4 linked regions of the Notamacropus eugenii genome follow. The protein of the gene in region 1 purifies or fractionates together with the protein of each later gene. This does not show direct contact. Links are inferred from orthologs where the notes say so. Each region holds a gene or a part of one and is shown in the gene's direction. Other genes may lie near its edges. The genes, in order: SQSTM1, CASP8, EPDR1 and E3 ubiquitin/ISG15 ligase TRIM25-like.

Region 1 (7,035 bases):
CTGAGGCAGGTACCACATCATTCCCATTTTACAAATGAGGAAACTGAGGCTGAGAGAGGTTAGCATAGTGGACAGAGTGCCTGACTGCAAATCAGGTCTTAGACATTTGCTGGCTATGTGACCCTGGGTAAAGCACTTAATCTCTGACTTGCCTCAGTTTCTTTTTCAGCAGAACAGGGATAATAGCAGCACCCACCTCACAGGGCTGTCATGAAGATCAAATTAGATAACATTTGCAATGCACTTTGCAAACCTTCATGTGCTCTACAAATGCTATTATCACTATATGTACATATGGGTATATATCTAAATGTACGTACATATATATGTACATACACACATGCACAAAAATATACATATATGAGTGTTTTCCTCACCCCTAACCACCCTCTCTCACCTCCCACCAAATCTAAGCCAGAACCCAATGGTAAAGAGCAGCTCTCGCCCCTATAGTGAAAGAAACCACTGTGGTTCATTGGGAAGAGACAGAGTCAAATCTGAAGGATATGTTTCATTCATTTCTCTTATGGCTTGTGTGACCCTGGGTGATAGTAGCAGCAGCAGCAGAAGTAGTAATAGTAATGTCACTTAGTAGGCAAGTCACTAAACATACATGGGTTTTGGTTTCCTTGTTTGTAAAAGAGGTTGGCTTAGATGACCTCTGAGGTTTGTTCCAGTTCTGACTCCATGACCCTAGCTTGGTATCTGTTAGTAAGTCAGGATGGAGGTTACAACCTTTCACCCAGAGGGCTAGACTCCACTGACCTCTAAGATCCCTTCCAGCTCTAAATTCCAACTTATAAGCCTTAAAGCTGAGCAGGGGGTTGGCAAGTGATGCATCTGGCTTCTGGCCCTGGCTGGAGAACTCTGACAAGGCTGGGAACTCACTGAGTCATCGTTACCCACACTCCCAAGGGCCAAGGAGCAGAAACCTTCCTACCTCCCTTAGAAAGTACTGGATGGGGTTGAGCCAAGCCTGGTTGGGCAATACTCAAGAGGAAGGGGTGTGGCCAAAGTAATTAAATGAGTGAGAGTAGGGATACCCCCCCAAGTTTCTGGTGTTCTCTAGAAAGTTCTGTGTCCCACCCCCAACCAGAATTCCTTTCTACTAACCCTGGGTTCTCTGGCCCTGCTGCCTCATTTCTAAGTAGCTAGCTGACCTTAGGGATCCTGGACTCCTTGTTACCTTTTATAGACTCCCCACCATATCCTTCCTGTTCCCTTTCTTCTGAGTCTCACTTTTCTCATCAGTAGAGAAAATGGTACCTGAAGTGCCTACCTGATGGAGTTATTAGGAGGATCAAGGAAGATGATGTGTGGCAATCCCTGTAGCAATTAATCAATCAACAAGCATTTATTAAGCCTCCATTAGGTGCCAGGCCCTGGGCTACGTGCTGAGGCTAAGACAAAAAGTGACATCCCTACGGCCAAGAAGGAAGGCAAGCACAGAGTCAAGCACACACAAAGTATATGTGAAGTCATTTCAGGGGGAGGCACTTGCTTCTTCCAAGAAGTGCTGGCTGGCATTTAAGCTGAGCTTCTAAGGAAACTAGAAGCTCCAAGAGGTAGAAAGGAGGAGGGAGTGCACTCAAGATGTGGGATACAGCCTGGGCAAAACTGAGGAGATGCGAAATGGCTTGAAGGCCAGTTTGATTGGATCGTGAGAAAGGGAGTTAATGTTCAGTGAATGAGGAAAGATAGGGCCAGGTTGTGAAGGGTTTTAAGATCTAAACTGAGGAGTTTATACTTTAAGTTACAGGTAATAGGAAGTTAAGAGAGTAGGAGAGTGACACAGTATTAACTTGCCTAAAATTCCCCATTAGATAAGCTTCCTGAGGGGAGGCCTAGAAAAAAGGAAGGAGAACCTGCTGTAGATAGTCAACAAATAGGGAAGGGAATAAGAATTTATATATGGCCTACTATGTGTCAGGCACGGTGTTAAATGCTTTACAAATGTAAACTCATTTGATCCTCACAGTAATCCTGGAAAGTAGGGGCGGTCATTATTTGAAACAGAGGGTAAGTGACTTGTGCAGTAAGGTGACACAGTGTCAGAGGTCAGAGCTGACTCAGGAATTCCTGACTACAGGCCCTAAGCTCTATCCATTTCACCCTCTACCTGAGAAAATCCTACCCAAGAGAACTCCCAGGGACAAAGAATCATAGAAATGAACCTGTGACTCAATTCTCCTTTGGACTGGAGTGAAACAAGCCTGATCTCACAGACAGTGCTAGTCAAACCCCTTTCCTCTTGGCCCAGTGAAACTCCCCAGATTCCCCTGATAACATGTGTTGTTCCCTAAAGCCAGACACTTATTATCATCATTCCCAATCAACCAATCGAAAGGCATTTATGAAAGGCTTATCATTGGCCTGTGGCTGTGCTATACCTTAGGGAATCAAAGACAAAAGGGAAATAGTCTGTGCCCTCAAGAAACTTACTCTTCGGGGGTGGGGTTGGTTGAGTAGTATGTACATACAAAAATATAAGCAAAATAGATAGAATTTAAGTTTTGAGAGGAAGGCACAAGAAACTGGAGGAGTTGGGAGAGGTTTCCTGTATCTCTTTTATGCTGTATCTCTTGATTTAAGTTTTGAAGGAGACCAAGAATTGTGGAGGGCAGCCAGGTGGCACAGTAGATAGAGAACTAGCCTGGAATGAGAAAGACCTGAGTTCAAATCTAACTTCAGACACTATCTGTGTGACCCTGGGCAAGTCACTTCACCCTCTTTACCTCAGTTTCCTCATCTGTAAAATGAGCTGGAGAGGGAAATAACAAACCACTCCAGTATCTTTGTCAAAAATACCCCCAAAGGGTCACAAAGAGTCAGAAACAACAGTAAGTTAGAATGGAAGAGTTGAATTATCTCCTGGGCCTTCTACTGGAGAAAGATGGAAAGAGCTCAGCACCACAGGCCTCAGGGGACAAGGGCACGGCATAGGGCACAGACCCTAGGGGATTTTGAGGGGACAAGTAGTTCAAGCAATAAGCATTTTTTAAGCATCTACTATGTGTTAGGCATAGTTTAATCTATATTATATTGTATCAACATTTATAACGCGTACTTTATATTTTAATCTCTACGCGGTCAGTCAAGTGGCTCTTGGAGCTGGAGGAAGATGGAAAATTCCAGATTTAACAATGAGGGGCAAACCAAGCCTCCCCAGCCCCATGGGCCAAGTTAGGCAAGTTAGACAAGTTAGCCTCGGAGCCCTGGCCATCAGAGAAGGTCACCGAGCTAAGTTCTCCTTGGCTAACGGTCCGTGAACACTGGCAAGGAGCGCTGCGGACCCCCTCTGCGGGCAGCAGGCCCACTTTGGGGCACGGGGTAAGAGAAAGCTCCCGGAGCCCGGAGGCCCCGAAGTGGCCAGGCGAGCTGCTGAGTCATGCTCAGTCAGGTCAGTGTGCAGTCCGGGGAAGTCCCTCACCCGTGGGGCTGTGAATCCGGAGGGAAGCGGCCTGGTGCCCAACTCTTCCTGCCCTATGCGGCCCTCGCCAGCGTGCTGGGGCACCGGGGGCACGGAGACCTCCCCCTCCCCACAGCTCAGGGCCCTAAGGAAGAGCCAGGGCTCCCATACTTCTGAAAGTTGAAGGGGCCCTTCCGCAGGTCCGCGGACCTCCCTCCTACAGCAGACACCCCCGCCCCGACGCTGAGACCTCCCCTAGAACACGGCGCCCCTCCCTGCCCCCTCCACCTTCCACTCCCCCCAACGGCGCATAAAACCCTCACCCCCCAAAAAGCCTCCCGCTCCTTTCCAGGGGCAAAATGACGGTCCCTTCAGCCTCCTCCGGCTACAGGGACACCCCCTCCCACACGCACGTGGGAAGCCTCTGGGATACTTTTCTAGACAGCTGCATCCCCTGGCACGTGGGAACTGCTCCCCGCCCCCACTCTGATGCCTCCCAGGGTCGCAGAGCCCCCAGCTCCGCCACTACGGACCGAACGGCAGACCCCTCCCCCCACTTGTTTATTTCGGCAGCGCACGAGGGATCCGCTTCGGGGCGTGAGCTAGCACCGAGGGACACGTGAGGGGAGGGGGGCGGGCGGGGTCCGGGGGGGGGGCGCGTAGCTCCCGGCCCCGCCCCAGCCGGGCGGAGACTCGGGCGTCGTGTATAAGACCTGAGCGGGGCGGGCTCGCCGGAGACGCCGTCCCAACGTCTGCGGGTCGCAGGTCGCCTTCGTCCGTGTTTTCAGCTGCCGAGACCGGCCTCTCCGCCTGCACAGTGCCGCCGACGCCGAGATGGAGCGGCTGACCGTGAAGGCCTACCTGATGGGCAAGGAGGAGGCGGCCCGGGAGATCCGCCGCTTCACCGTGGAGCCGCTCGACGGCCCGGGCCGCTGCGAGAAGCTGCTCCGCCGCGTGGCCGAGGTGTTCCCGGCGCTGCGGCCCGGCGGCTTCCAGGTGTACTACCGAGGTGAGGCCGCGGGGCCGGGCCGGGCAGGCGGGGGCCTGGCCGGGAGCGGGGCTCCGAGCCCGCAGCCGGCTCTGGCCCGCCCTGACCCTGCCGCTTGTTTATCTGGCGTCGGGCCGAGCCGGGCTTACGTAACCGGACCCCGTGTGCCGTGACGCGGGCCAAACCGCCGAGGCTGGGCGGGAGCCGAACCGACCCCCGCCGAGGTCTCCGTGTCCCCCGGGAGCTAGGCTAGGATTGGCCCGCCTGCAGCCACCCGCGTTTATTAAACGCTGCTGTGTGCGAGGCGCTGGAGACAGAAAAATGGTGGCGCTCCTACCCCCGAGGAGTTCACTTGGTTTTGGGGGTGTGGGGGTGTGTACACACACTCGTGGATGCGTAATACGTGTGTACGTATATCGGCGGCTGTACGCGTATCTAGCAGCCTGTTGCACGAGCAAGTCTGTTTATACAAACATGCGAATAAGTAAGCCAAGGTTCAGAGTTTTGAGGAGGAGGATCCGGAAGGAGCTTGGGGGCGGTTAGGGTGTGCCTGGCTTGGAGGTGTGTGTCTCGGTGCCCGCGTGTGCCCTGGCAGGAGTGGCATCAAACTTGTCCCAGCCGTGCGGCGCCGGGCGGGTCGCTTCATCGCCTCCTGCCTTAGCGTCCCCGTCGGTAAAATGGGCATTAGAAGTAAGGCCAAGCTGCCAGCGCTGTTGTGCGTGAGTGTTCCATGGAAGCGTTACTACTGGCGCTGCTACGGCTCCAGCCTTGCTTTGGGCCTGGCCGCCCGCCAGCCTCCTGGTCCTGTTGTGACTGCCCGAGCTGGACCTGGACGGAGCCCACGGTGGCGGCCCTCCCGCCCCCAGAGTAGTCCTTGGCTTTTCTACTCCCCCCAGGGCAGAAGTTTCCAGAATCTGTGACCATTTTCTGTCTCACCGTCTCCAAACTAATTAGTAAAATAACGTGTGATGAATCCCACAAACGAGCTAAACTTTTTTTCCAGAAATGTTTGTATAGTCAAAGAGTGGGGGGGAAATCCCACTTAGAGACCACCCTTGGAGATTGGATTGGTTTAAATCGATGTATCCTTAGGCAACACAAGATCCGTGCACACCAAAAGAGGCAGCAGACAGTCTAATGGAGGAGACCACATGCTAATAAATACGTAGAAAGAGAGCTACATTCAGAATAAAGAGGGAAGGCACTAGAATTTAAAGGGTTTGGGGAAGGCTTCCTGTAGGAAACCAGGGAGGTCAGTCAACACCAAAGGGAAAACTTTCTAGGCTCAGGACACCCAGAGAAAATGCCCAGAGCTGAGGGTTGGAGTTCGTGAAACAGCCAGGAGGCTGGTGTCGCTGGATAAGAAAGAGTACCTGTAGGGGCGAGTAAGGTGTAAGAAGATTGAAAAGGTTGTGAAGGGCTTTCCAAGGCCAAGCAGAGCTTTTTGTATTTGATCCTAGAGACAATAGGGAGGCCCTGGAGTTTATTGAGTAGGGGAAGGTGGGTTGACCCCATCGGACTTGAACATAGGAAAATCACTTTTAGTGGCTTGGAGGATAGATTGGAAGAAGGAGAGATGAGAAGCCTGCAGACACCCCATCCCCACAGCAGGATGTTGTAATCAAAGCCTGAGGTGATGAGGGCCTGGACCCAGGGGGTTGGCAGTGTCTGGAAGGATTTTGCAAAGGTGAAATCAATAGGCCTTGGCAGGGCTCGAATATGAGAGATGGGTGAGGAGTTCACCGTTCCTAGGTCAAGAACCTGAGAGACTGGTAAGATGATGTGGCTCCTGAGGGTAAAGGGAAAGGTTGGAGGGGCAGGATTTAGGGGGAAAGATTGATTTCAGCTTTGGACTTAGTTTAACTAAGTTAAAAATGTCTACTAGACATCCAGTTCTGGGTGTCTGAAAAGTTAGTTGGAGATGAGAAAATGGAGGTTAGGAGAGGGAGATTTAAGAATCATTGGCATAAAGATGATAATTAGATCCATGGCAAGTGAGAGAGAAGAGGGCCCAGGTATAGGAACTAGAGGGACACCCATGATTAAAGGGTGGCATCATTAGGAGGATCCAGGAAGGGACACAGAAGGAACAATCTGAGAGGTGGGAGGAGAACCAGGAGAGTGTGGTGTCCTGAAAACCTAGAAGAGGGTGTCAAGGGGGGGAGATTGACACAACTATGTTAGAGGTCAAGGGGAACGAGGGTGGAGAAAAAGACAACCAAGAGACTATTAGTAACTTTGGAGAGAGAAGGTTTTGGTGGAATGATGAAGTTGGAAGTCAGATTGCGAGGGGTTGAGGAGAGGAAGTGGAGACACTGATAAAGAGAAATGAGATTATAAAGTGAGGCAGAGGTCTCACTTTCGAATTTTTTTGGGGGGGGGGGGAGTTTTCCTGGAAAAAATGACTTCAGAGATCCAGGTATACTAACTTTGTAGTCTTTGATTCCCTTAGGCAGCTAGCACATACAGTGCCAGGCTTGGAGTCAGGAAGATCTGATTGGATTCAGATTTCATCCTGGAGGCAATTGGCAGCCACTGGAGTTTGTTGTTGGGGGAAGTGGGTTGACGCCAGCTGTGTGACAAGTCTAGGCAAGTTGTTTAACCTGCCTGCCTCGGTTTCTTCATCTCTAAAATGGGA
Region 2 (7,828 bases), on another chromosome or scaffold:
GTAACTGCTAAGATTCTGGGCACAAAAATCCCTTTCTGTGTCCAGACGAGTACAAGCTTGATTGCACCACCTTGGAGGAACTGAGATCTTACATATTCCCAGAGTATATCCAACTCTTGACAAAGGACCCAAAAGCCAAGTAACTGGTTGGGAAAAATGCCCAAAAAAGGGAAAAAAAATAAGACTACAGAAGGTTACTTTCTTGGTGAAGATATCTTTTCCCATCCTTTCAGACGAGGAAGAACAATGCTTACCATCAGGGAAAGACATAAAAGTCAAGGCTTCTATATCCCAAACATCCAAAATAAATATTCAATGGGCTCAGGCCATGGAAGAGCTCAAAAAGGATTTTGAAAATCAAGTTAGAGAGGTGGAGGAAAAATTGGGAAGAGAAATGAGAGAGATGCAAGAAAAGCATGAAAAGCAGATCAACATCCTGCTAAAGGAGACCCCCAAAAATGCTGAAGAAAATAACACCTTGAAAAATAGGCTAACTCAATTGGCAAAAGAGGTTCAAAAAGCCAATGAGGAGAAGAATGCTTTCAAAAGCAGAATTAGCCAAATGGAAAAGGAGGTTCAAAAGCTCACTGAAGAAAATAGTTCTTTCAAAATTAGAATGGAACAGATGGACGTTAATGACTTTATGAGAAACCGAGAAATCACAAAACAAAACCAAAAGAATGAAAAAATGGAAGATAATATGAAATATCTCATTGGAAAAACAACTGACCTGGAAAACAGATCCAGGAGAGACAATTTAAAAATCATGGGACTACCTGAAAGCCATGATCAAAAAAAGAGCCTAGACATCATCTTTCATGAAATTATCAAGGAAAACTGCCCTGAGATTCTAGAACCAGGGAGCAAAATAAATATTGAAAGAATCCACTGATCACCTCCTGAAAGAGATCCAATAAAAGAAACTCCTAGGAACATTGTGGCCAAATTCCAGAGTTCCCTGGTCAAGGAGAAAATATTGCAAGCAGCTAGAAAGAAACAATTCAAGTATTGTGGAAATACAATCAGGACAGCACAAGATCTAGTGGCTTCTACATTGAGGGATCAAAGGGTGTGGAATATGATATTCCAGAAGTGAAAGGAACTAGGACTAAAACCAAGAATCACCTACTCAGCAAAACTGAGAATAATACTTCAGGGGAAAAAATGGTCTTTCAGTGAAATCAAGGACTTTCAAACATTCTTGATGAAAAGACCAGAGCTGAAAAGAAAATTTGACTTTTAAACACAAGAATCAAGAGAAGCATGGAAAGGTAAATAGCAAAGAGAAGTCATAAGGGACTTTACTAAAGCTGAACTGTTTACATTCCTACATGAAAAGACAATATTTGCAACTCTTGAAACTTTTTTCAGTATCTGTGTAGTTGGTGGGATTATACACACACATACACACACACACACACAACACACACACACAGACAGAGAGCACAGGGTGAATTGAATAGGATGGGATCATATCTTAAAATAATAAAATTAAGCAGTGAGAGAGAAATATATTGGGAGGAGAAAGGGAGAAATGGAATGGGGCAAATTATTTCTCATAAAAGAGGCAAGTAAAAGACTTTTCAGTGGAGGGAAAAAGGGGGGAGGTGAGAGAAAAAACATGAAGCTTACTCTCATCATCTTCAACTAAAGGAAGGAATAAAATGCACACTCATTTTGGTATGAAAACCTATCTTACAATACAGGGTAGTGGGGGAGAAGGGGATAAGCAGGGTGGGGGGGATAATGGAAGGGAGGGCAGTGGGAGGAGGGAGCACTCTTGGGGAGGGATAGGATCAAAAGAGAGAACAGAAGAAACAGGGGACAGGATAGGATGGAGGGAAATATAGTTAGTCTTACACAACACAACTATTATGGAAGTCATTTGCAAAACTACAGAGATATGGCCTATATTGAATTGCTTGCCTTCCCAAAGGGAATGGGTGGGGAGGGAGGGATGAAGAGAAGTTGGAACTCAAAGTTTTAGGAACAACTGTTGAGTATTGTTCTTGCAACTAGGAAATAAGAATACAGGCAATGGGGTATAGAAATTTATCTTGCCCTTCAGGACAAAAGAGAAGATGGGGAGAAGGGAAGGAAGGGATGTTAGAAGGGAGGACAGATTGGTGATAGGGGTAATTAGAATGCTCGGTGTTTTGGGGTGGGGGGAGGGGAGAAATGGGGAGAAAATTTGGAACCCAAAATTTTGTGGAAATGAATGTTGAAAACTTAAATAAATAAATTTAAATATAAAGAAAAAAAGATGAGGAAACTGAGGCAGATAGAGGTTAAGTGACTAGCTGAGGATTACACAACTAATATAGTGTCTGAGATAGAATTTGAACTCAGGTCTTCCTTCCCTCAAGCTGTTTTATTTACTACACTACCTAGTTGGAGGTATAACAGACAATGCAGCCAGTACCAGGAAGATGTGTGGTGGAAGGAATGTCATTATCAGGAATGTCAGTGCCAGAAGATAGAAGGAGAGAGAAAGGAAGAGGTTTAACATGAAAGGAAATTTGTTAATTATGGAGCAAGTATTCCAGAGAGTACAGTGGAACAGGATTGATACATCTGGAGCAGGATTCTGTTAGGGTTTGGGTTGAGTGGGATGGGAAGAAGGCTTGTAGTATGTGTGTGTGTGTGCGTGCGCACGTGCATGTGTGTGCATATGTATATATGCACATCATATATGTGCACATGTGTTAGCATATATAGGAATGTTTATATATATTTACACATATAAATATATGTATGTGTTGTATGTATCCATACATATACATATATGAAAATAATGTGGTTTTACTGGTCTTAGGGATATTTCTTAACCAACGGGTAGTTAGAGATGGGGAACAGAATTTGTACATTAGTAACCATGGGGTCAGAATCACTGGAATGGGGAGAGTATGAGGGGGTGAGAGTATTCTGGCCTTTGAGAAATGAGGCCAAAAAGAATAGCAGTGATTGGAGAGAGATCTATTTGGGGAAGTAGGTTCAATATTGTTCAATATAGGTGGAGCTCTGGGCCTGGAGTCAGGAAGACCTGAGTTCAAATCCTACCTTAGACACTTTCTAGCTGTGTGACTATGGGAAGTCACTTAACCTCTGTCTGCCTCAGTTCCCTCAACTGGAAAATGGGGATGAAAAGAGCACCTGTGGTGAGGATTCAAATGAGACATTTGTTAAGTGATTAGCAAAGTGCCTGGCATATGGAAGATGCTTAATAAATGCTTACTCTTCTTCCTACTTCTTGGTGTTGTCCAATCTCATGGTAGATGATGATGTGTCCTGTGAGGGTCCTAGGAAGCTAGTCTCACAGCAGGGACAAGTAGGTGGAGGTAAGGCCCTGTGAATCTAGAAGCCCATTTAAGGAAGAGGAAGATGTGGGGGTGGGGGGGATCAAGGAGAAGCTGGGGAAGGGAGCGGAGGGGAGGGAGGGGAGGGGAGGGGAGGGGAGGGGAGGGGAGGGGAGGGGAGGGGAGGGGAGGGGAGGGGAGGGGAGGGGAGGGGAGGGGAAGGGAGGTAGACGTAACTGAAGTCCCTGCAGGAAGAGATGGATGGAAGCCAGGAGGTGGGTAACTGGTTCAGATTCCTCAAGGTGGCTGATAGCTAGAGAAGTTTTTGGGGGCCAACAGCTTCTGTCTGGGCCTCAGTTTTCTTACTTGTAAAATAAGGAGATTGACTAGCTGTTCTCTAAACTCTTCCTCTTCATGCTGAGGGCAGCAGAAATCACAGCCCTAAAAAACAAAAATAAAATCAATTACTCTGGGCAAAGCCTTCACCCCCCTCTCCACATCAGGTTCCCCACCGTATCTGTAAACCCTAGTGAGGAGTCTCAAATAGTCTTAAAAGAGCAAATGAGATCCTCTTGCCTTACTAAGCCAGGTTCTCGGGCAAGGGATTATGAATTTAATTTGTCTCTGATCATTTTCTTCTCAATTCATCCTGGATTTATCAGCATGTAGGTAAAATGCTGGGCTCTGGGGGTGCAAAGAGAAAACACAGCCCTTGCTCTCTGAGAGTTTTTTTTTTACTGAGCTAGAGGAGCACAATAGAGCTGAGACTGTTGGGGTTCAGATAGTTGAGGGGAAAAGTAATTTCAGGAATTTAGTGAGGATGGGGATGGGGAAAAGTGTTTATTTTTGGAGTGGCAAATTTTGCAACTGGCCTATCATATTGCTCTTCTGGTGGCCCGACTTTACTAATCTTAGATCTCTCTTCCCTCCCCCCCTTCTCTTCTTCCCTTTCTCTTTCTTTAATTCTTTCTCTTGTCTTTCTTTTTATAGTCATCTTTTTTTTTTCCATCACTAAATGTCTACTGGTATGCCTCTCCCTACCCTTCCCAGAGAGCCATCTATATAACAAATATTTTTAAAGGGGAGAGGAGGAAAAGGAAGGATTAAAAAAAAACCTAAAATCGAACGAAGAAAGTGAGAATATATGCAATGTTCCGCACGGTGGACCTCTCCCTTCTGCAAAGGAATTGGGTAGGGGTGGGCTGTCTTCTCATATTAAAGACCCCAATCAACCACCTGCCCTCTGGAGTTACCTGTTCTGAACCAGGGTGGGGCTCCCTTAGACGGTTTTCAAATTGACGTTTCCTTGTTTTGAACTTCACCTTAGGGTCAAGCAGACAATTAGGTCCTGGTCCTTTAAGCTTTTTTTTTTCAGAAGGTGGGGAGGGGAAATGACTCATTCAGTTCCCAGTTTAAAAAATGTGCTGGTTTTCCCTTCGCTGACTTTTTTTTCTTTTCTTTTCTTTTCTTTTTTGCTGAGAATCAGTATCTCCGGGCGCCGCGGGGCTCGCGCTGGACAGCTTCTGAAGCCTGCAGTGTGCCCAGACAGAGCTCAGCCAGCGGGATCTTTCCGGGCTGGTGACTTGACTTAACTTTGAAAGTGCGGAACCGAGAGAGATAAGAGAGGCGGCCCCGCCACCATTTGAACGCGGAATCCACTTCGGTAGGTGAGTTGCCACGGTCCAAGGAAGGAAGGAAGGGGGGGAAGGGGGAGAGAAACCCAATCTCTTACTTTTTCGCGAAGTAGAACCAGGATTTAAGTGACTTCTGTTGTGCTGGGCACTGTTCTAAGGGCTGGGGATTAAAAAAAGGCAAAAAACAGTTCTCAGAAAGTTGTCAGTCTCGCGAGGAAGATATGCAAGATATGCGAGATACATGTATCATGTCCAAACAAGATACATGTATCTTGTCTAAATAAGATACATAAAAGATAAATTGGAGATAGCCTCAGAGGGAAGACGCTAGCATGACAAAGGACCAGATGTAGAAAGTAGAATTTTACCTGGAACTTGAATGCAGGGCAGTCTGGAGGTGTAGCTGGGGAGGGAGAGACTTCCATGAGTGGAAAACAATAATGAAAATGCCTTAAGGTGACAGATGGAGCATTGTGTGTGTTTGTTGTCTGTTGTGACATGAGGAAGGTGCTGTCTCGACTTGCAAATAAGTTTTTAAGTGAGGGAGGGCTGTGCAAAGTCACCAGACTCATTCTCTTCTCCAGTGAGTTCTGGGTCCAGTGGCAAGCTATAGATTAGGACGACTGGAGATGGCTCCAGATGCAACATTGAAGAGTAAATGGGAATTGGAGGGGGGGAGGGAAGGTTACTAAGTTGTAAAAAAAGAAAACCTGGAAAAGTTAAAGAGTAAGTGGAGGGGACTGAGGTGGAAGAAGTCAGAGGGGACCGAGATTATGAAGGGCAGTTGGAGATATGAGGAAGGTGGTCAGGAGAGAGATTAGGGCTAGATAAATAGTTATGAATAAATACAATCTTTAACTTAGAAAAGATCGTGAAATCCATAGAAGCTGATAACATCGCCAAACAGAAACAGTATAGAGGGAGAAGAGGTCGAGAAGGATCGAGACTGAGAAAAGGTCACTAGATATGCTTTTAAGGGATCATTGGTAAATCTGGAGAAAGCAGTTTTAGTTGAATCAGATTTTAAAAAGTTGGGAGAGTGAGAGAAACGAAAGTGAAGGTATTGATTGTCAGTCAGTCAAGTGCCTACTGTGCATCAGGCTGTGTTAAGCAATGGAGATATAAAAAGAATTCGTGCTTCTCAAAAGAGCTCACAATCTAAAGGAGGAAAACATATAAAAGGAAAGGAAAAAGAGGTATCAAGTGCAAAAAAAAAATGTTTGGGAGATTCAAGAGTGCCACTTGGAATAGAATGAATACCTGATGGGCCCAGGCCACCTCCTTAAGATGGAGGTTCTGGGTGGAGCCCAGGGGAAGCGAATGTCCAAGAGTCAGAGGGTTCCATTTTGAATATGAAGTCTGGGAGTAGCGTGAGTTCCAGAGTAAAGAGACATTGTAGAAAAAGTTCTTTCTTGGGCACTGTAGAAAATATCTAGAAGACCCAGGAGGGAGGACCAGAGAGGAAAGGGTTTTGGGGAAGGTTTGTGTTTGCCCTTACTGGTGTGTTTATAGGCAGTAGAGAAAAAACCAGTAGATGGAGAGAAAATGAGGATTAGTGGGAGTGGAGATGACAGAGGAGTGATCTGCTGGAAAAGACAGGGTGGAGTGAGATCACTTGTGTGTAAAGGACTTTGACTTGGCAAATAGAAGGGTCACATCATGTGAGACAGTGGTGAAGGAGGAAATAGGAGTGCAAGGCATCTGAGTGATAGGAGATGAAGAAGGAAGAAGAGGGGGCTCTTTGTGAATGGTCTCAATCTTTCTTGGTGAAATAGGAGGCAAGCTTCTCAGCTGAGAGAACTGGAGGAAGGGGAGCAATGGGAGGATTGAAGAGAGGCAAAAGGAATGTTAGAAAATGATGATAAGCTTATTGTAAGGAATGTTTATTCCAATACTTTAAGGATCTATAATTTCCCTGATGAGAAGACCCCTCCACCAATGCTGATCACAACCTCTCTACCATTTGTCAGGTGGTCTTATCAAAGAGCTATTGTCCCTAATAGTCACAAGCAAATCAAATTCATCTTAGGAAGGTTGATCTAAAGGAAGGATTAAAAGGAAAGAAAGAAAGGCAGTATGCAGACGTGGGGAATCTGTAGCCTCCAGATCACCTGTGGCCTTCTGGGTCCTTGGGTGTGGCCTTTTGATTGAGTCCAGGTTTTGCAGAACAAATTCTTTTTATTAAGGGGATTTGTTTTGTGAAGTTTGGATTCAAAGGGCCTCACTCAAGGACTTTGAGGGCCACATGTGGCCTCAAGACTATAGATTTCCTACCCTTGGATAGATAGTGTACTGGACTTGGAGTCAAAAAGAACTGGGCTCAAATCCAGACACCTACAAGTTGTGTAATTTGCCCAGTTTCTTTGGACTTAGTGACCTGGAAGATCTCGTCTACTTCTGGAATCTATCATCCTATGAAAGTGAAAGAACCAATGACGAAATCTGCATAAAGCATCAAAGAAAAACATGAATACTGTAGGCACTTATATAATACATGTATCAGTCTGCTAGAAAAGGTTTTTAAGAAAAAAAATTATTAATCTGTAACCAAACTCTTTCTAGCATGGAGAGGGATGATGAAATTGGCATAATCCACATGCACTTTGACATGACTCTGTCCTAGAAAAGCTTACTGGTAACATGTACACCTAAGGAGTCTGCACCAAGGGAAAGATAGCTTGTGTTGAAATTCCATCCCATCCCCTGAGTAACGCTGTGATTTGTGTGGATCGTATCTACTGATTTAAAAAAAATTATTAATTCATTCATTTAAAAATAACAAGTCATTATGTTAACATAAATAATATTTTAATGAAAATTACTGTTTTCCAAAACAAAAGAATATTAATGATGAGACTGGCACTGTTTCACATAGTTTTGCAAATCTCTTTAATGTCT
Region 3 (7,492 bases), on another chromosome or scaffold:
ATCCTCAGCTTTCTTCATAGCACAGACCAGATGGCACCTCCTACTTCAGACTTTTTCTGATTTCCACCCCCCTTTTGAAATTACTTTGCATATATTCTGTGTTTTGTTTATTTGTTTACATGCATTTCTGTGGTAGAATATAAGCATACTGAGGGAAGAGACTGTTCGATTTTTATTTCTGGCCGCTAGTTTGGAGTCTTACTTGTAGTCAGTGCTTAATAAGCATTGCTTAATTGAGGTTTGTTGTTGTTTGTCAGGGGTTCGACTCTACTCATGACCCCATTTGGGATTTTCTTGGCAGTGATGCTGGAGGGGTTTGTCATTTCCTTCTCCAGCTCATTTTACTAATGAAGAAATTGAAGCCAACAGGTTAAGTGACTTGCCCAGGATCACACAGCTGGTAAGCATCTGAGACTAGATTTGAACTTGGGTCTTTCTGACTTTCTTAGATGTTGAGGTGAGGATTGATTTAGGTTGAGATGAAGTCATATCAGATCAAAAGGACCAGGGAGTTGTCCCCAGCCCACTCCAGGGCTTCAGATCCATTCTAGAGTGGGCCTGTGCATCATTAACTCTACCAGATTCTTGGTCTGTTTCGTGGAAAATTAAAACTCCTAATTTTAATCCTAGATTTAAATTATGAAGGAGAAATGATACTCATAGACTTGCCAGGGCTAGTTAAAATCAAGGTATTTTTCTTCTTCCCTTAGCTTTTTCAGATCTGGGTAAAGACAGATGTGGGAGGAGCAGATGAGGAAGGCATGCTTCCAACAGACTTCTCTTTACTGTGTTCTCCAGACATGAGACCCCACCCTGTTTCTAAGGTGATCCCTTAGAAAGATAGCCTTCTGTTCTTCCTACTTTCATACATGTAAACTGTGGCCTCATCCTCTCCTTGGCATTCAAAGCGCTTCATCCCCTACCCTCTCCTACCTTTTCCTTCTTCTTATATCTCACTCCCCAACAATTATCCTTTGATGGGGTGACTCTGCTTCTTGGCTTTTCCGATAGTCAGACACTCCATCTCTCAGTTCTGGTCATTTTCTCTGATTGGTCCCCCTGCTTGGGACCCTCTCCCTTTTAAACTCCACCTGTTGACTTCCTTGACTTCCTTGAAGTCTCAGCTAAAATCCCACCAATCACTCCTAATCCCAGTGCTTCCCCTCCTCACCCCCTTAAGTATTTATTTATTCTATCTAGAGTTTGCTTTGTATATATTTGTCTGCGTGTTGTCTCTCCCGTTAGACTATGAATTCCTTGAGGCAGGAATTGTCTTTTGCTCCTTTTGCTCCCAGCACTTAGCAAGGTGCCTGGCACATAGCAGGTACTTATTAATATTTATTGATTGATGTTGAGCAAATCTGAAATTGCCACCTAAAGCCGGTGTTCTCTTTAAGCCTTGGTCTTCAATATAGCTTTATCCTTATACCTTAGCCCTAGATTTGTGCTTACATTGGAAAGATTTAAAGGTGAATAATTTCACCCAACAGACATCTATTAACTCCCTGTCATGTTCATGGTATTGTGCCATGTACGAGGGACACAAAGACATGATCCCTGTCCTTGGGGGGATTATAGTCTAGAAAAACACAACTGGCACATAGATCTCAGAATTCTAGATCTAAAGCAGAAAGGGAACTTACAGGTCATCCAGTCTAACTGTCTCATTCTACAGATGAGGAAACTGAGGTCTAGTTTTCCCAAGGTAGAAATTGGAAGAGCTAGATTGGAACCCTGATACTCAGCAAATCTAGAACTCTTGACAATGCACCTTAATTCCTCTCAGTTATTACAACAAAATATGAAGACCTGAAGTAGGAGGTGCCATAATCATCAATAATGCTGCTACTACTGGGGGGGTCTCCAGGGTTCCCTCTGCCATTCTTTCCCATCTCTCCTGAAAATGCTTAGCCCTTCCTCAAGCCACTTGTGGGTGACAAGCAAGCCTTTCTTTCTTCATTAGTTTGTTTTCTCATTTATAGGGAGCATGTTTGGCCCAGTGCAGTTCCCTTGTACACTCATGTACAATACAGGAAGTAGACTTTACCTGGAGAGGCAATAAAGTTTGCTTTTGGGCAAGCAGGCTGGCTTGTTTAGGGTCCTGGGCAACATGGTGACTCTGACATTGGGGGCTCCTGTTCTCCTTCCTGATCCTCCACCCCCCCCTTTGGCCCTGCCTCAACCTCTGGGACTCCCAACTAGAACCCTCAGGGTCCACTCTAAAAGGGTTGCCATTAGAGAATGCATAGTCACACCAAGATGAATGATAATGCCTCACTCCACCAAGAACAGAGAAAAAAAAAACCAAATTTCAAGCAAGGACTGGCTTTCTAAGGATGGTACATGAGACACTGTGGAATCTTTAAACAAGCAACTACTTGGAACACACTTTTAAGTTTAATCTGTATTGTTAACATTTCCCCATCAATTTCTTCAGGTCTAGAAAATCAACAGAACTACAAAGTCAAGCTCTCATTTATAGCATTTACTAATTTCCAGGTGTAAATGTCCAGACTGAAAATTCAACAATTACTCTCCAAGATAGATTTGGTTCTACCACACCCCTAGATGGGATTGAGATTCTTTTCAAGGTAGAACTGGGGTGGCAAAGAAGAACCCTTCTAGGCTCTCCTCAAATCACTTCACAGGCAAGTCATTTACTTTCTCAAAGTTTTTTAATCTGTAAAATATCTGTTTCCTTATTTGTAAAATATGAAGATTGGATTAGATTGGTGTGGGAAACCTGTAGCCTCAAGGCCACATGTGGCCTTCTAGGTCTTTTGGCATAGCTTTTTGACTGAGTCCAAGTTTTACAGAACAAGTTATTTTATGAAGGGAATTTGTTCTACGAAGTTTGCATTCAGTCCAAGGGCTGAACTTGAGGGCCTAAAGGGCCACATGTGGCCTCAAGGCAGCAGGTTCCTCACCCCTGGACTAGATGATCTGCTATTTCCTCCCACTTTCACTTTCTTTCACTGCTTTTCCACTAGTCCTAGGATCTAACCCCCTGCTTAAGCTAAAGGCCAGCCTAGCCTCTGGACATCTCAGCCACTTCCTGGACAATTAATGGAAGAGATGAAATGTGTGCTTGGCACCTTGGCCTTTGTGGATGAGGATTCAAACATTTACTCAACAGTTGCTGCTCTATACCAGTCTCTTCTTTCAGGGCATTGTAAAAGTATATCTCAGTCTTCTAAATCCAATCTTAATTGGCTCTCCCTCCTGCCTCACTTTCCCAGGGGCACAAGGTCACTCATGGTTACCAGGCACGGTTAATCAAAAAGTATTTACTAAGTATCTACTGTGTGACAAGTTCAAGACAGTGAGGCTTCTCAATATGTATTTGACCTCCAGTGATGTTAGAGAGGGCAAGAGTAATTCTTCTGTTTTAGTCCTGAGTTCCTCAGATCCAGAGACCTGGACTCCCTCAAATAGAAAAAAAACTGTCAGATGGAGGTTGGAGAATACTAGATGTAGAACTAGAGAGAAGGGTGGTGGGTAGAGTGCAAAGAGCACTAGACCTGAGTCCTCATCTGTCCAATGTGGGGATTGGCCTTGATGGGTTCTGGGGTCCTTTCCAGTTTGAAATCTATAATCGAAGAGGTCAACTAGTCCATCCCTTTCATTGTACAAACAGGGAAACTGAGGGCCAGAGAAGGCAAATTACTTGCCTAAGGTCACATGGGTAGTACATTGAAGGGGCCTGAGGTAATTTTTACAAATGTGTGGATATAGTGGTTTGATCTGATTGAGCAAGTGAAAAGGCCACACTTCAAAGAGCCTTTATCCCCCAAAGCAAACTCTTTGGGGCCAGGAACAGATTCTTTTTTGTCAGTTTGGTGCAGGACCTAGCACCATGCCTTACACAGGAGGAGTTTAATAAATGTTTCTTGAGTTATTGGATCCATGGGGTGACACCAACTCCCACTTATATAGTGCTCTATTTATATTTAAATAGTGTGAAAAGCAAACTGTGGGAACTGAGGCTTGGGTAAATTAAGTCACCCAGCTAGTAAGAGTTACAGCCAGAGCCAGGAATCCAACTCCAATCTCTCCAGACTGCAGGCCCGGACTTTACTGGGTCAAGTCCATGCTCTACCACTGCAACGTCCAGTTGCTTGTCCTTCCCGGAAACCCTCTAGTTCTTAATCTGAAAAATGAGGGGCCCGAGTCAGAGAATCGCTAAGGTCGTTACCAGCTCATCCTAACGTGAAGTTAAGGGCGCTTTCTCTCCCTCCGTGCGGAACCTGGCTCCCCACTTGGTGTCCAGAGGGATGCCAAGATGCCCCTTGGAGTTTTGGGGGGAGACTGAGTGGCAGTTCTGGGCAGCTGGTCCTGTCTCCAGCATTTACTGCCGCAGCCCCGCCCGGCTGGTGTTGCAGTCCTCCCGCATTTGCCCGAGTTCTCCCTCCTCCCCCCGCCCGCACGTCCACTCTGCGGATGCCCATTGGGCTGCGACGGGCACGTTTGCCTCTGCATTTCCTGTTGGCAGCAGAGAGGCGGCGGGGGGAAGGAAGCCGCAGTCTCAGCCGGAGCCGGAGCGGGAGGGAGCCAGCTGCGAGCTCCCTGCCGCAGTGTCCCCCAGCCAGCTCCCTGCGCACGGGGAAGCCGGAGCCGAGGTCGCGGCTCTCTCCAGACCCGACTGGACCTCCGTCCCTCCCTCCCCCGGCAAGTGCACCGACCGGCTAGGGGAGGGAGGGGACGGCGGCGAGAGAGCCACTGCCCTTTCCCGCGTTTCCTTCCCCAGCCCTGCCCTGCCCTGCCCTGCCCTGCCCTGGGCTGTCCAGTCCAGCGCTGTCCAGCCCAGCCCAGTCGTGCCCCGTCCTTGGCCACCCTGCTCCCCAGCCCGCGCCTTTCCACCTGCGCTGTCCCCTGTGGCACAGAGAGGGATGCGCGCTGCGCTTCTAGTGGCTTGGCTACTGGGTAGCCTCTGCAGCTGGGCGCTGGCTGTCGGGGATCCTGGGCCGCCATGCCAAGCTCCGCAGCAGTGGGAAGGACGTCAGGTGCGCTACGACCACAGCAGCGGCCGCAACACCCGCGCCCTGCTCTCCTACGATGCCCTCCAGCAGCGCGTCCGCCTGCTGGAGGAGAGGAAGGCTCTCATCCCTTGCAAGAAGTAAGTGCCAGGGTCTCAGGCAGGGGACTAGGGGGACTGGGGTGCAGGGAGGGAAGGCTTCGATGGTGGGGAGAAACGAGGTGGGGGCTATGGTTAGGCGGGGACTCACTGCGGCAAGGCTGGGGGTGAACCATAGCTAGGCAGGGAGGCTGGGGGGTGCACTGCAGTATGGGAGGGGGCTCATTGGAGAGCACCGCAAGGAGAAGAGCGGGGGAGCACTGCGGCTTTGGGAAGGAGGTCAATGCGGAGAGGGGCATGGAGAGGAAGCGAGGGGCGCACTGCGGCAGGGCGGGGTGCGTTGAGGGTGTGGGGTGGGGTTCATTGAGGGACATGTCAGAGAGGGGGGCGGGGGGCGCACTGCAGCAAGGCAGGGAGGCGGGGTAGGGGCGCAATGCGGCAAGGAGAGGAGGTGGAGGAGGGGTGTACTGCGGCAAGGCAGGGGGAGCGCACTGCGGCAAAAAGGGAGGGGGGGCGCACTGCGGCAAGGCGGGGAGGGGGGCGCACTGCAGTAAGGCGGGGAGGCGGGGGCGCACTGCGGCAAGGCAGAGTAATGCACTGCGTAAGGCAGGACGGTGGAGGGAGCGCTGCAGTGGGGGGGGGGGGAGAGTCGTTGCACGGGGTGTGCGGGAGAGCACTTTGGGGTTCGGAAAGGCTGGGGATGGAAGTAGCACTTCCTGGTACGAGGAGGAGGTTGAGGGGATGCATTACTAGTGCACTTCAGGCTGTGGAATCGGGGTGCATTGCGGAGGCGGGAGGCCGGAGTGGGGACCGGGGACCGGGGAGGTTGAGGGTGTGGGGTTGCGGGAGGATGGGTGGAAAGGTGGGGGGAGGACCTCTGCACCTGGGCTAGCTTCTTGTCTGTCTGTAACTTTTCTTTTCGGGGAGCGGGGGCTGAGGAGGGGTATAGGGGACGCCTCTTCTTTTCCACGTCAGATCCCACTAAGAAAGGACCGGACTCCCCTCCTCTTTAACGTTCGGGGAGATGATTAAAGTCGGGGAAGGGCGGGGCCAGGGAAGAGGAGAGAATCAAATGAAAGTGTGCGCAGAAATTTCTTTGGTTGGGGTGGGACCTATCTTTCACCAGTCCCACTCATTACCCTGCCCCCATGTTGCGGCTCCTGGTGACTCAGGTTTTCTTTGATGACAAGCTTTGTCCTCTTTCTGCCAGCCTGCAGCATCTGCCAGACTGGGTGGGGCGGCAGCACCTCCCTCTGCAGGGGATGCGTAGTATTGTCTGCCAGGATTGCTAGGATGAGAATTCCAGGCTCTGCAGACCACCCTTTCCCCGCCCGGCACCTTGCCTCAGTAGAACTGGGGCGATGGTGTACTTTCTTTAGAGCAGTCAACGCTTCCTACCCCTGCCTTTTCCAGGCTGCCCCTGGCTCTTCTATTTATGTCCCTGGGAAGGCCTCCTGGAAAATTTTCTGGGATGGCTTCAGGTAGTGAGGCATTAGGCCGGCTCCGCTGCAGCCTGGCACAAGGCCAAGTTATAGCTGCACTGTCCCCAGGGCAGGGAAACATCCAGATGAGAGGCCAGTCAGTCCGAGCGCATTATAGTCCTCTGTTCTGGGCCCAGGGGACACCTGAAGATCGGTGGGGGGTGGGGTCGAGGGGACACAGGAGAAATTAGGGAGCAGAAGCCATCTGCTAAGGGAGACAAAGGAACTCGAGAAGCTTGGCAAAACACCGTTTACAAAAGACGCCATCGTTGATAAGGTAATGCTGGGTGGGGCGGGAATAGGGTTGGTGAGGGAGGGACCTCCTGGATTGCGAGTTGGCCACCATTTTACAGGAATCCCAGAGGGGTTAAACAGAGCTGACATTTATTTCCCCTTCATGCCTGGACACATTACCTCATTTGATTTCTGCAACATAGATGCTATGAACATCCCCATTTTGCAAATTCAGAAACTGGAATCTGACAGATATTAAGAAACTTCTCCAGGGCTACACAGGCAGACTTTGAACCCAGGTCTTCCTGAATCTAAGTTTAGTCCTCTTTTCTGTAGATTAGGTTGCTTGTGGGCACTTGGATTCAGGTTCTTAGACTCCAAATCCAGCCTTTTGAGTGGATCTTGAAGGCACTGACTGGGAGAGAAGAGAGATCAAATCATTGTAGACTGGAAGGAGAAATATAGTCCAGGCAGTTGAATTGCCCTTAGCCAAGGACTGATAAGAAGTATGTAGCATCCTGAGCCTTGGTTTACAGAATATGGAATTCTTAGAGCTGGGTGGGGCCTCAACCCTCATCTACCCCATACCTGGAAGGAAACCCTTCTCTACCAAATGATAATTAATCCTCTCTCTTCCAGACTCTCAAGGAGTGAGAAGGCACCCTTCTACCCACTCCATTTTTGGGTCTCTTCATTAATAAGG
Region 4 (7,850 bases), on another chromosome or scaffold:
AACAACTTCAATATAACAATAAAAGTAGCATACATATAATGCCTGGGGGCACTCACTTACTTGTAAATTGGGTATCACCATGGCACAGCATAACTGAGGTTCATGGTTCTTTGTGAATTTGAAGATCTTACATTGATTTATTGAGTATACTCCATTAAAAAAATCCACTAAATACTTCAGTTTCAGGGAGGAAATTTTCATTATAACCTTTATTATTATCACCAAGAAAAATGGCAAATTCTTCCAACTGAAATACTCATCCAAGTCTTTTTGCATGAGAAAACCTGAGAGCTTTAAATAACACAGGGGTGGTACCTCTCTGGGACACCTGCCATCCACATTTAAACTTGCAGGTTGAGTCCTCAAGGACTTTGTAGGTCCACACTCCTAACACCATATAATTCACAAGTTCCCAGCATACATTTGCCTTTGCTTCTTCTAGTCTCTGCTAAGATCCCGCCTCCTGCAAGAAAACTTTCTCAGACCCTTTTAATGCTAGTTCCTCTAAGACTGCCTCCCATTTACACTGTATATATTTTATACATGCTTAGCAGTTTGCATGCTGTCTTCTGCAATAGATTGTAAGCTCCTTGAGCATGGACTGTTTTCAACTTTTATATTTCCACTGATTAGCCCAGTGCCTGGCACATAGTAAAGTGCTTACCAGTAGAAGGTCCAGATGCATCAATTGACATGAAAATTTTATTATAATTTTGCTTTGAAATTTTCACCCCATTTCTATTTTTATTTTTATTTCTTGCCCTATGGGAAAAAATGTGCTGTATCAAGTGACTCAGCTTGGTCCTTTAAGGTATCCTTAGATTTGGATCCTTCTTAATATATGTTTGTTGACTTGAGTCTAGTCAGTCATAGTACATAATTTGCTCAAGACAAAGGCATTTACTGAAATGATATCAGTTACAGCATTTCATAAACCTGGAGAATATTTCCTACAAATATTCAAGGTGTCAGAGGGAAGAAGAAATACCTACAGAGTTGGTAAATGAAGTACACACAAGAGGAATATGGGTCATCAAGATATATTCAAAGTGGGGATTGTAGTGGGGCTGAGGGCACCACTGATGGTTGATGTCCTCCAATTCCTTTCATTAACCTTGGTCTCTCAGGCTCTGCTAGAATCTTATTCAGTGATTGACTACTGACTCCAGCTTTGGGCTAGACTAATATCCTGGTCTATGGTACTATGATGCCTTTCTAGAACAAAATAGAGCCCAAGCCATAAGACCAGTAAGAATGTCATGTCTGGGGACTGCCATCTCTTGAATGCAATCCACTCTCTTAGCAGCTAACTCTTGATTCTTGTCCCTGACACATTTAGCTAGACTTTGCTGGACTCTCTTCTGCCCTGGACACTGGTATATGTTTCCGTTTCAAGTTGCTATTACCATAGGGAAGCATATACCTTTCTTACCCATCCACTGCCATTTTATAATAGGAGCAAGGGGAAAAGTAAAAAGCCACCTCTGAAGCTGAGCTCTTCCTCCATAGTTGTCTTTCTTCTAGACTGACATACCTGGCTAGCTTACTCTACAAATAGTTTCAAAGGTCAGGGCCAATCTTTTCAGTCCATCCCTAGATTTTGCAATGAGTATCAATTACCTTCATGCAATGACTCATGCTCTGTAATCCTACCAGGCTAACTGAGCAACTTCCTACATCCTAAAGGAGTGACCCATACTTAGAGCTATACTTAGGGATGACCCCATATAGTCACACAATTTTGCAAAGGGATTTCCTTTTAATGGAGTTTAAAATTGATTACTTTTCGAAAAAACAAATGGAGCAATGATTTTGGTCATTGTTTCATCATCCCACCTCAAAAGAGATCTCCCTCAAAGTTTGGTTGACCAATGGGGGTGTGCAGAAGCAAGAAGCATTAGGAGATTCTAACTAGGACTTCAAGTTTTGACTCAATCCCACATTATTTTCTCATTTCTTCCCTCCCACTTCCATTCCCTTATTTATTTTTTATGGTATGTATATATCATAGAGGCAGTGTGGCTTTGTGGCTAGAGAGCCAGCTTCCACTCTAAGGAAAATCTGTGTTTAAGCCCCAGCTCTGAAATATGCTAGCCACGTGACCCTGGGCAAGTCATTGTATCTCTGTGTGTTCTAGGTGACTCTTCTTTCTCTGTTTCTCTGTATCCCCAGGGTATAGCAGGTGTTTAATATATACTTCTTGATTTGACACTATAAATAGCAGAGAATGGGCTTCCTTACAATGCAGAGGGAGTTTCCTCACCAAGTGATTCTCTATGTCAGCATTCCCTTACATAGAGATAATAGGATCATGAATCCAGATGGACCTACCCCAATCCTTTCTTTTAGAAATTTAGACATTTTTTAAAGATTATTTTAGAGATATTTAGGGAACTGAGGCTCAGATTAGCAACTCAACAGGGTCAGAAAGGGTTGGAGGGGATCTGAAATCACAGCCCTCTGATGCCCAAGCTAGTGTTCTCTCCAGTGTAACATAGCTAGCTGCCTCCTATTCCATCAAGGCAGGGAAGAAGTCCTTTCTTGGATAGATTTCTGCATACATATGCCCAGGAAAAGACATGAGAAAAGGATGAAAAATGGACTGAAGCAAAGATACCCCTTTCCCAGTTTAAATGGGCTGCCTAGAAACAAAACCAGCAGTATTAGAAGTAAGGGAGAAGTCTGAACTACACAGTGAAGAGTTTTGGGTCTGGAGTCAGAGAAATTTTAATCCTGACTTTGCCACATACAACCTGTACACCATTGAGTGAATGGCTTCACCTCTCTGGTACCAAGTTTCCTCTGGGTACAATGAGGAAGCTGGATGAAGTGGTTTATTCTAAGTGCACCTCCAGTTCTAAATCACAGGCATAACCTGAGTTACTAGGGAGGAGGTTTGGGATGGCAAAAGAGTACAAGGCTGGGAAAGTCCTTGCTGGCCCAGGGTGGAAAAGACTGTCAGGGATTGGTTGGGGTCTCCAGACTCCACTTTGTAGCAATTCACAGAACAACTGAGTGAAGCCATCTCTTCCTTTCCTTAGCCTCCCATTGGGCAGATGGATCTCTGCCATTAGGGTTGTTATTTTGTGCTGAGGAGTTGTCCTAATCATTCTTCCTCTGTTGAGGTAACGGCTGGCTCAGTGAAGAGACCCCTGACCAGTGGGACATCTCGAGTCTCAGGCACGCAGTGATGAGGCGGGAGACAGAGATGTAGCAAGCTCCGTTTATTATTAGCAAGTACAAGCCTTATATACTGTTCAGCCTTTTAAGTTCCATACTTGTGGCAAGCTAGTGATACATTTACCTCCTTAAGGTACAGATACCAGTCTCACGACTGCCTTAGAAAGTCTTAATAAGTACCAGAATGTTTACTCAAGACTGAGAGAACTGGGACTATTGTGTAGGGTTCCGGAGGGCCGAACCAACAACCTTTGCTCCATTTGCACAATCAAGTGGGCTTATCAGGCCATCATGTGCTCCTGAAACCGTTGTGGACCTCTAGGGTTCCCTACATTCCTCCAACCTATGAAAGCATAGTAAAAGCCTCCCTCTTTAGCTCAAGAGAAATATTAAGGAATAATATTTCTCCAACCTAAAAGTCTTTCAGACTTTCCCTTTAAGAGAATGGGTAGAAGAAAGGTTAAAGGACTGGATTAAGAATGAGAGCCAAATTTAATTTAGGTTGAAATAAGAACCTAGCATCCCCCTGACCTGCAGTGAATGGCACTGCACCTAAGGGCAGTGTCCTCTTTTCCATTCATGATTAAGGTATAGATGGAGGCTGGGAGGGAGAGGAGGGGGAAGTAGGAAGTAATCTTTTTCAATCCTTGAAAGGAAGGGTCCAAAAAGGAAGTGAGTAGTGACTTCTGGAAAGGTAATCCTAAACTGTGCTTTAATGCATTGTGATCTTCTGCTTGTTCAAGATTTCTATAAATTCTACCCCATGTCATCTTGTGGTACAGAGATGTATCAGAGTATATGACAATATGGACAACTCTCCCTCTCTCCAAGGTGGAAATGCCTTAAAGTCCTTCATAACTTGGCTCCCTCCCGTTTCTCTAGTCTCCTGACATTCACTCCCCTGTGCATACAATTCGATCTAGTGACAAGGGCTTCCTCGATGTTGCTTGCAGGGGATGCTCCATCTCTGAAGTTCGCATTTTCATTAGTGACAGCCTCCTTGCCTGGAATGTTTTCCCTCCTCTTGCCTTCCTTAAATTCAAGCCCTACTTTCTGCAAGAAGCCTTTACCACTCCCCCTTAAGGTTAGTGCTTTCTCCTCGCGATTACCTATATGGATATAGAGAGATAGTGTATTTATCTACATACACACGCATATATTGTGGTCGTCCTTCCTTGCCAAAGAGGGCCATGGCATCAGAGACATGATGACATGACTTGCACATGACTTCGTTTTGAGTGAGGGAGGGCTGTGCAGGTCACCAGCCTCACTTCTCCTCCAGAGCCATCTGAATCCAGTGCCCAGATATTCCTCAGGATGCCTGGCGAAGACCCAGGATGCGCTGGGGGACCTTGAGCCCTTTGGGCCATACGCATGTATAGGCGGCATTAGAATATACTCTCTTCAAGAACAGAGATTGTGGGTTGTTTTGAATTTTTATTTTTCCCTTTCTGTGTATCCCTAGCGTTTAGGGACATCGTCTGACACATAGTGGGTGTTTAATAAACGTCTGTTGGATTCGCTAGAGCACGTCAATGAAACACAACTCTTTCTGGCTTGCGTGTCTCAAAGGCGGAATGTTGATATTTTCCTTCCACAACCCCCAGGGCCAGCCCGGCCCTGCAACTCCTCCCCACTCCCCACGTGATTTCCCGTAACTCTCGGGGTCCCCTCCCCTCCGGCTAGTTTCATTTCTTTCTCCCCCGAGCCCGGAGAGTTTCTTTTCTTCCTCGAAGGCGTCGGGAGCGGAGCGCGATGGCCGAGCTGGAGCCCCTGGCCGACGAGCTGACCTGTTCCATCTGCCTGGAGCTCTTCCAGGAGCCCGTTACTATCCCGTGCGGCCACAACTTCTGCTCGCCCTGCCTGGACGAGGCGTGGGGCGGCCAGAGCTCCAGCTTCTACTGCCCCCAGTGCCGCCAGTGCTTCCGGGAGAAGCCCCAGCTGAAGAAGAACACGGCGCTGTGCGCGGTGGTGAAGCAGGTGCAGCAAGCCCAGAACCTCCGGGATTCGGGGCAGCCCCTCGGTGCGTCCCGAGATGGCGAGTCCTCGGACCTGCCGTCCGCGAAGTGGGCGCAGGCGAAGGAGGACACCGCCGGCAGCGTGGCCTGCGACTACTGCTTGCGGGCTCCCGCCGCCCAGACGTGCTTCACCTGCATGGCATCCTTCTGCCAGGAGCACCTGCGGCCGCACCTGGACAACCCGGTGTTCCTGAGCCACGACCTGCAGCCGCCCGTCCCAGACCTGGCCAGTCGCAGGTGCCCCGAGCACAGCCGCCTCCGGGAATTCTTCTGCTCGCAGCACGGCGTCTGCATCTGCAGCGTCTGCCTGGTGGGGCACAAGACCTGCTCCCCGGTGGCCCTGGACGTGGCCAGGACCCAGCTGAAGGTGGGCAGAGGGGGAGCGGGGAGAGGTCCGGCGGGGGGGACGCCTGGCAGCGGTTCGGGGTTAGCCTCAGGCCCCTGCGGGATACCGGTAGCTGCGGCCCAGCTAAGTTTCAATTTCCCGGGGCCGGGATTAGTTTCTCTTTCCTCCCTTTCCTTCTCTTTCCTTCGAGCCTTCCGAGGGAAGAACCTGTAGTTCAGCCAAGAAACAGGTAGGGGGCTTGTGGATGTGGGGGTTCAAGAGAGAGGTTCGAGAATCTAGGGGCACCTATTCTCCGCCTACCTGGGCGGCAGGGGCGCTTGGGTCCCTTTTCTGTGCGAGTGTGTCAGTTTCTTGGTCTGTAGGAGGAGGCGAAGTCATTCCTGCCCGGTACCCAGACTTGTTAGGAGAAAAGGCCACAGTCCACGAGAGAGGGCTTCCTTGAGGGGGTTCAAGCCCTGCCTCCTCTATAGTGGCCGTGTCACCCTGGGCAAGTCTCCTATTCCCCTCCGTGCCCTGGGTAATTTACAGATTGCTGGGAAAATGCTATTTTGCTTTGCTAGCGGGAAATTCCTTCCCCAGAATTTTTTCAGAGAGGTCCTAGGTGGATCCGGGGTCCCTCCCTCCCTATGGTCAGTATTGCTAAATCTGGGGAACCGAAGGTCCCAAGGTTATTTTGAAATATGTGATGGGGAGTGAGAGGAGGGTCTCCTTTAGTTTCCCAGTGGCCCGGATTGAAGTGACTGCCCTAAAACCGTGAAGCTGAGATGAGAAACTTTGTTTCCTTCAGTCTTTATTGGGTAATAGATTTTAGAGAGCTGGGATTTCAGAAGGCATTTAATCCACCCTCATTATTTTACAGATGAGGGACTGAGGTCAAATGACTTGACCAGGGTGACACAGGTAGCAAATGTTTGAAGTGGGAATTGAACTCTGGTCCTCTTACTTGGAAGCCAGGGTTCTTTCTCCTATTGCTTTCAATCTTCTGGTAAAACCAGAGGATTAGCTTAGGTGATCCCTAAGGCTCCTTCCAGTTCTAACTCCTATGATCAGAAATAGAGAATCAACCAGGCTTACTGTAAATCTATGTGTCTGTCTGTCTCTCTGTGTGTCTGTCTCACACTGTCTCTGTCTCTTTGTCTTTGTCTCTCTCTACCAGGCCAAAAATGCCTCAGAACTTCTCTCTGTGGTGTTTTGTTTTGTTTTTTTGGACATTATCTGTTGTATCTTGTAGTAAAAAGCGTATGCTCCTTGACATCAGGAACGCTTCTGGTTGTTTTTCTTTGTGCCTGAACCTCCTGGGATGTAGTAGTAGGAATCTAAAGATTCTTGAATTGAACCATGATGAGGTCTTTCAAGCCCAGAGCATTTTTGTAAAGTCTTCGAACCTTATGAACTCTAGTCATCATGTACTCTCCCTTTTTTCTTTTCAAAAATATTTTTATCATTTGTTTTTTAACATTCATTTTTTAAAATGTCAAATTCTAAAATCTTTTCCTCCTTCCCCCAGCCCATCTGAAACCCATTGAGAAAGCAAGCAACAAAACCCATTATACTTGTGAAGTCATGCAAAAAGATACCTTTTCCTTTTTAATGATGAAAATTGGTTCCACCATACACATTACTTTTTCCTTAATCTGAATCTTCTTGGGGTTTTGAGGAGGTTTTTGGTGGCAGCATTTTTTTAAAATAATATTTTATTTTCCTCCCTGTAAAGACAGTTTTTAACACTCAATTCTTAAAAATTTGAGTTTCTAATTTTTTCTATCCCTTCCTCACCTCCCCCTTCCCTGAGTTGTTAAGCAATTTGGTATAGGTTATACATGTTCAGCGCTGCAAAACATATTACCATGTTAATCATATTGTGAAAGAAGACACAGACCCAAAGGAAAAAAAACCATAAAAACAATATAGAAAGTGAAAAATAGTATACTTGCATCTGCATTTGGAATCAATCAGTTTTCTCTGCAGGTGAATAACATTTTTTATCATGAGTCCTTTGGAATTGTCCTGCATCATTGTATTGCTGAAAAGAGCCAAGTCATTGATCATGACAGCTGATCATTGTACAGTATTGCTATCACTGTGTACGTGTTCTCCTGGTTCTGCTCAGTTCACTCTGCATCAGTTCATACAAGTCTTAACAGGTTTTTCTGAAATCAGCCTGCTCATCATTTTTTTATAACGCAGCAATATTCCATTTACCACAACTTGTTCAGCCATTTCTCAGTTGATGGGCCACTCCTCAATTTCCAGTCCTTTGCTACTACGAAAAAGTAGTTGCAGTTAAAATTTTTGAGTTCCAAATT

What was found.
Region 2: the proteins of SQSTM1 (region 1) and CASP8 purify together in Homo sapiens (affinity purification with western blotting; 5 studies listed by BioGRID and IntAct, with this or other methods). This does not show direct contact. The link is inferred for Notamacropus eugenii from reciprocal best matches to the Homo sapiens genes SQSTM1 and CASP8.
Region 3: the proteins of SQSTM1 (region 1) and EPDR1 purify together in Homo sapiens (affinity purification with mass spectrometry; 3 studies listed by BioGRID and IntAct, with this or other methods). This does not show direct contact. The link is inferred for Notamacropus eugenii from reciprocal best matches to the Homo sapiens genes SQSTM1 and EPDR1.
Region 4: the proteins of SQSTM1 (region 1) and E3 ubiquitin/ISG15 ligase TRIM25-like purify together in Homo sapiens (affinity purification with mass spectrometry; 3 studies listed by BioGRID, with this or other methods). This does not show direct contact. The link is inferred for Notamacropus eugenii from reciprocal best matches to the Homo sapiens genes SQSTM1 and TRIM25.

What each region holds. Positions count from the first base shown.
Region 1 is NC_092872.1:416,510,069-416,517,103, reverse strand, and holds the start of SQSTM1 (sequestosome-1), read left to right. Parts: upstream 1-4,031; 5' UTR 4,032-4,243; coding exon 4,244-4,418; intron 4,419-7,035. UniProt on the Homo sapiens protein: Molecular adapter required for selective macroautophagy (aggrephagy) by acting as a bridge between polyubiquitinated proteins and autophagosomes.
Region 2 is NC_092877.1:297,410,451-297,418,278, forward strand, and holds the start of CASP8 (caspase-8), read left to right. Parts: upstream 1-4,826; 5' UTR 4,827-4,963; exon of another isoform or gene 4,964-5,090; intron 5,091-5,298; exon of another isoform or gene 5,299-6,561; intron 6,562-7,828. UniProt on the Homo sapiens protein: Thiol protease that plays a key role in programmed cell death by acting as a molecular switch for apoptosis, necroptosis and pyroptosis, and is required to prevent tissue damage during embryonic development and adulthood.
Region 3 is NC_092874.1:478,735,165-478,742,656, forward strand, and holds the start of EPDR1 (mammalian ependymin-related protein 1), read left to right. Parts: upstream 1-4,479; 5' UTR 4,480-4,889; coding exon 4,890-5,116; intron 5,117-7,492. UniProt on the Homo sapiens protein: Binds anionic lipids and gangliosides at acidic pH.
Region 4 is NC_092873.1:368,989,280-368,997,129, reverse strand, and holds the start of E3 ubiquitin/ISG15 ligase TRIM25-like, read left to right. Parts: upstream 1-4,839; 5' UTR 4,840-4,935; coding exon 4,936-5,565; intron 5,566-7,850.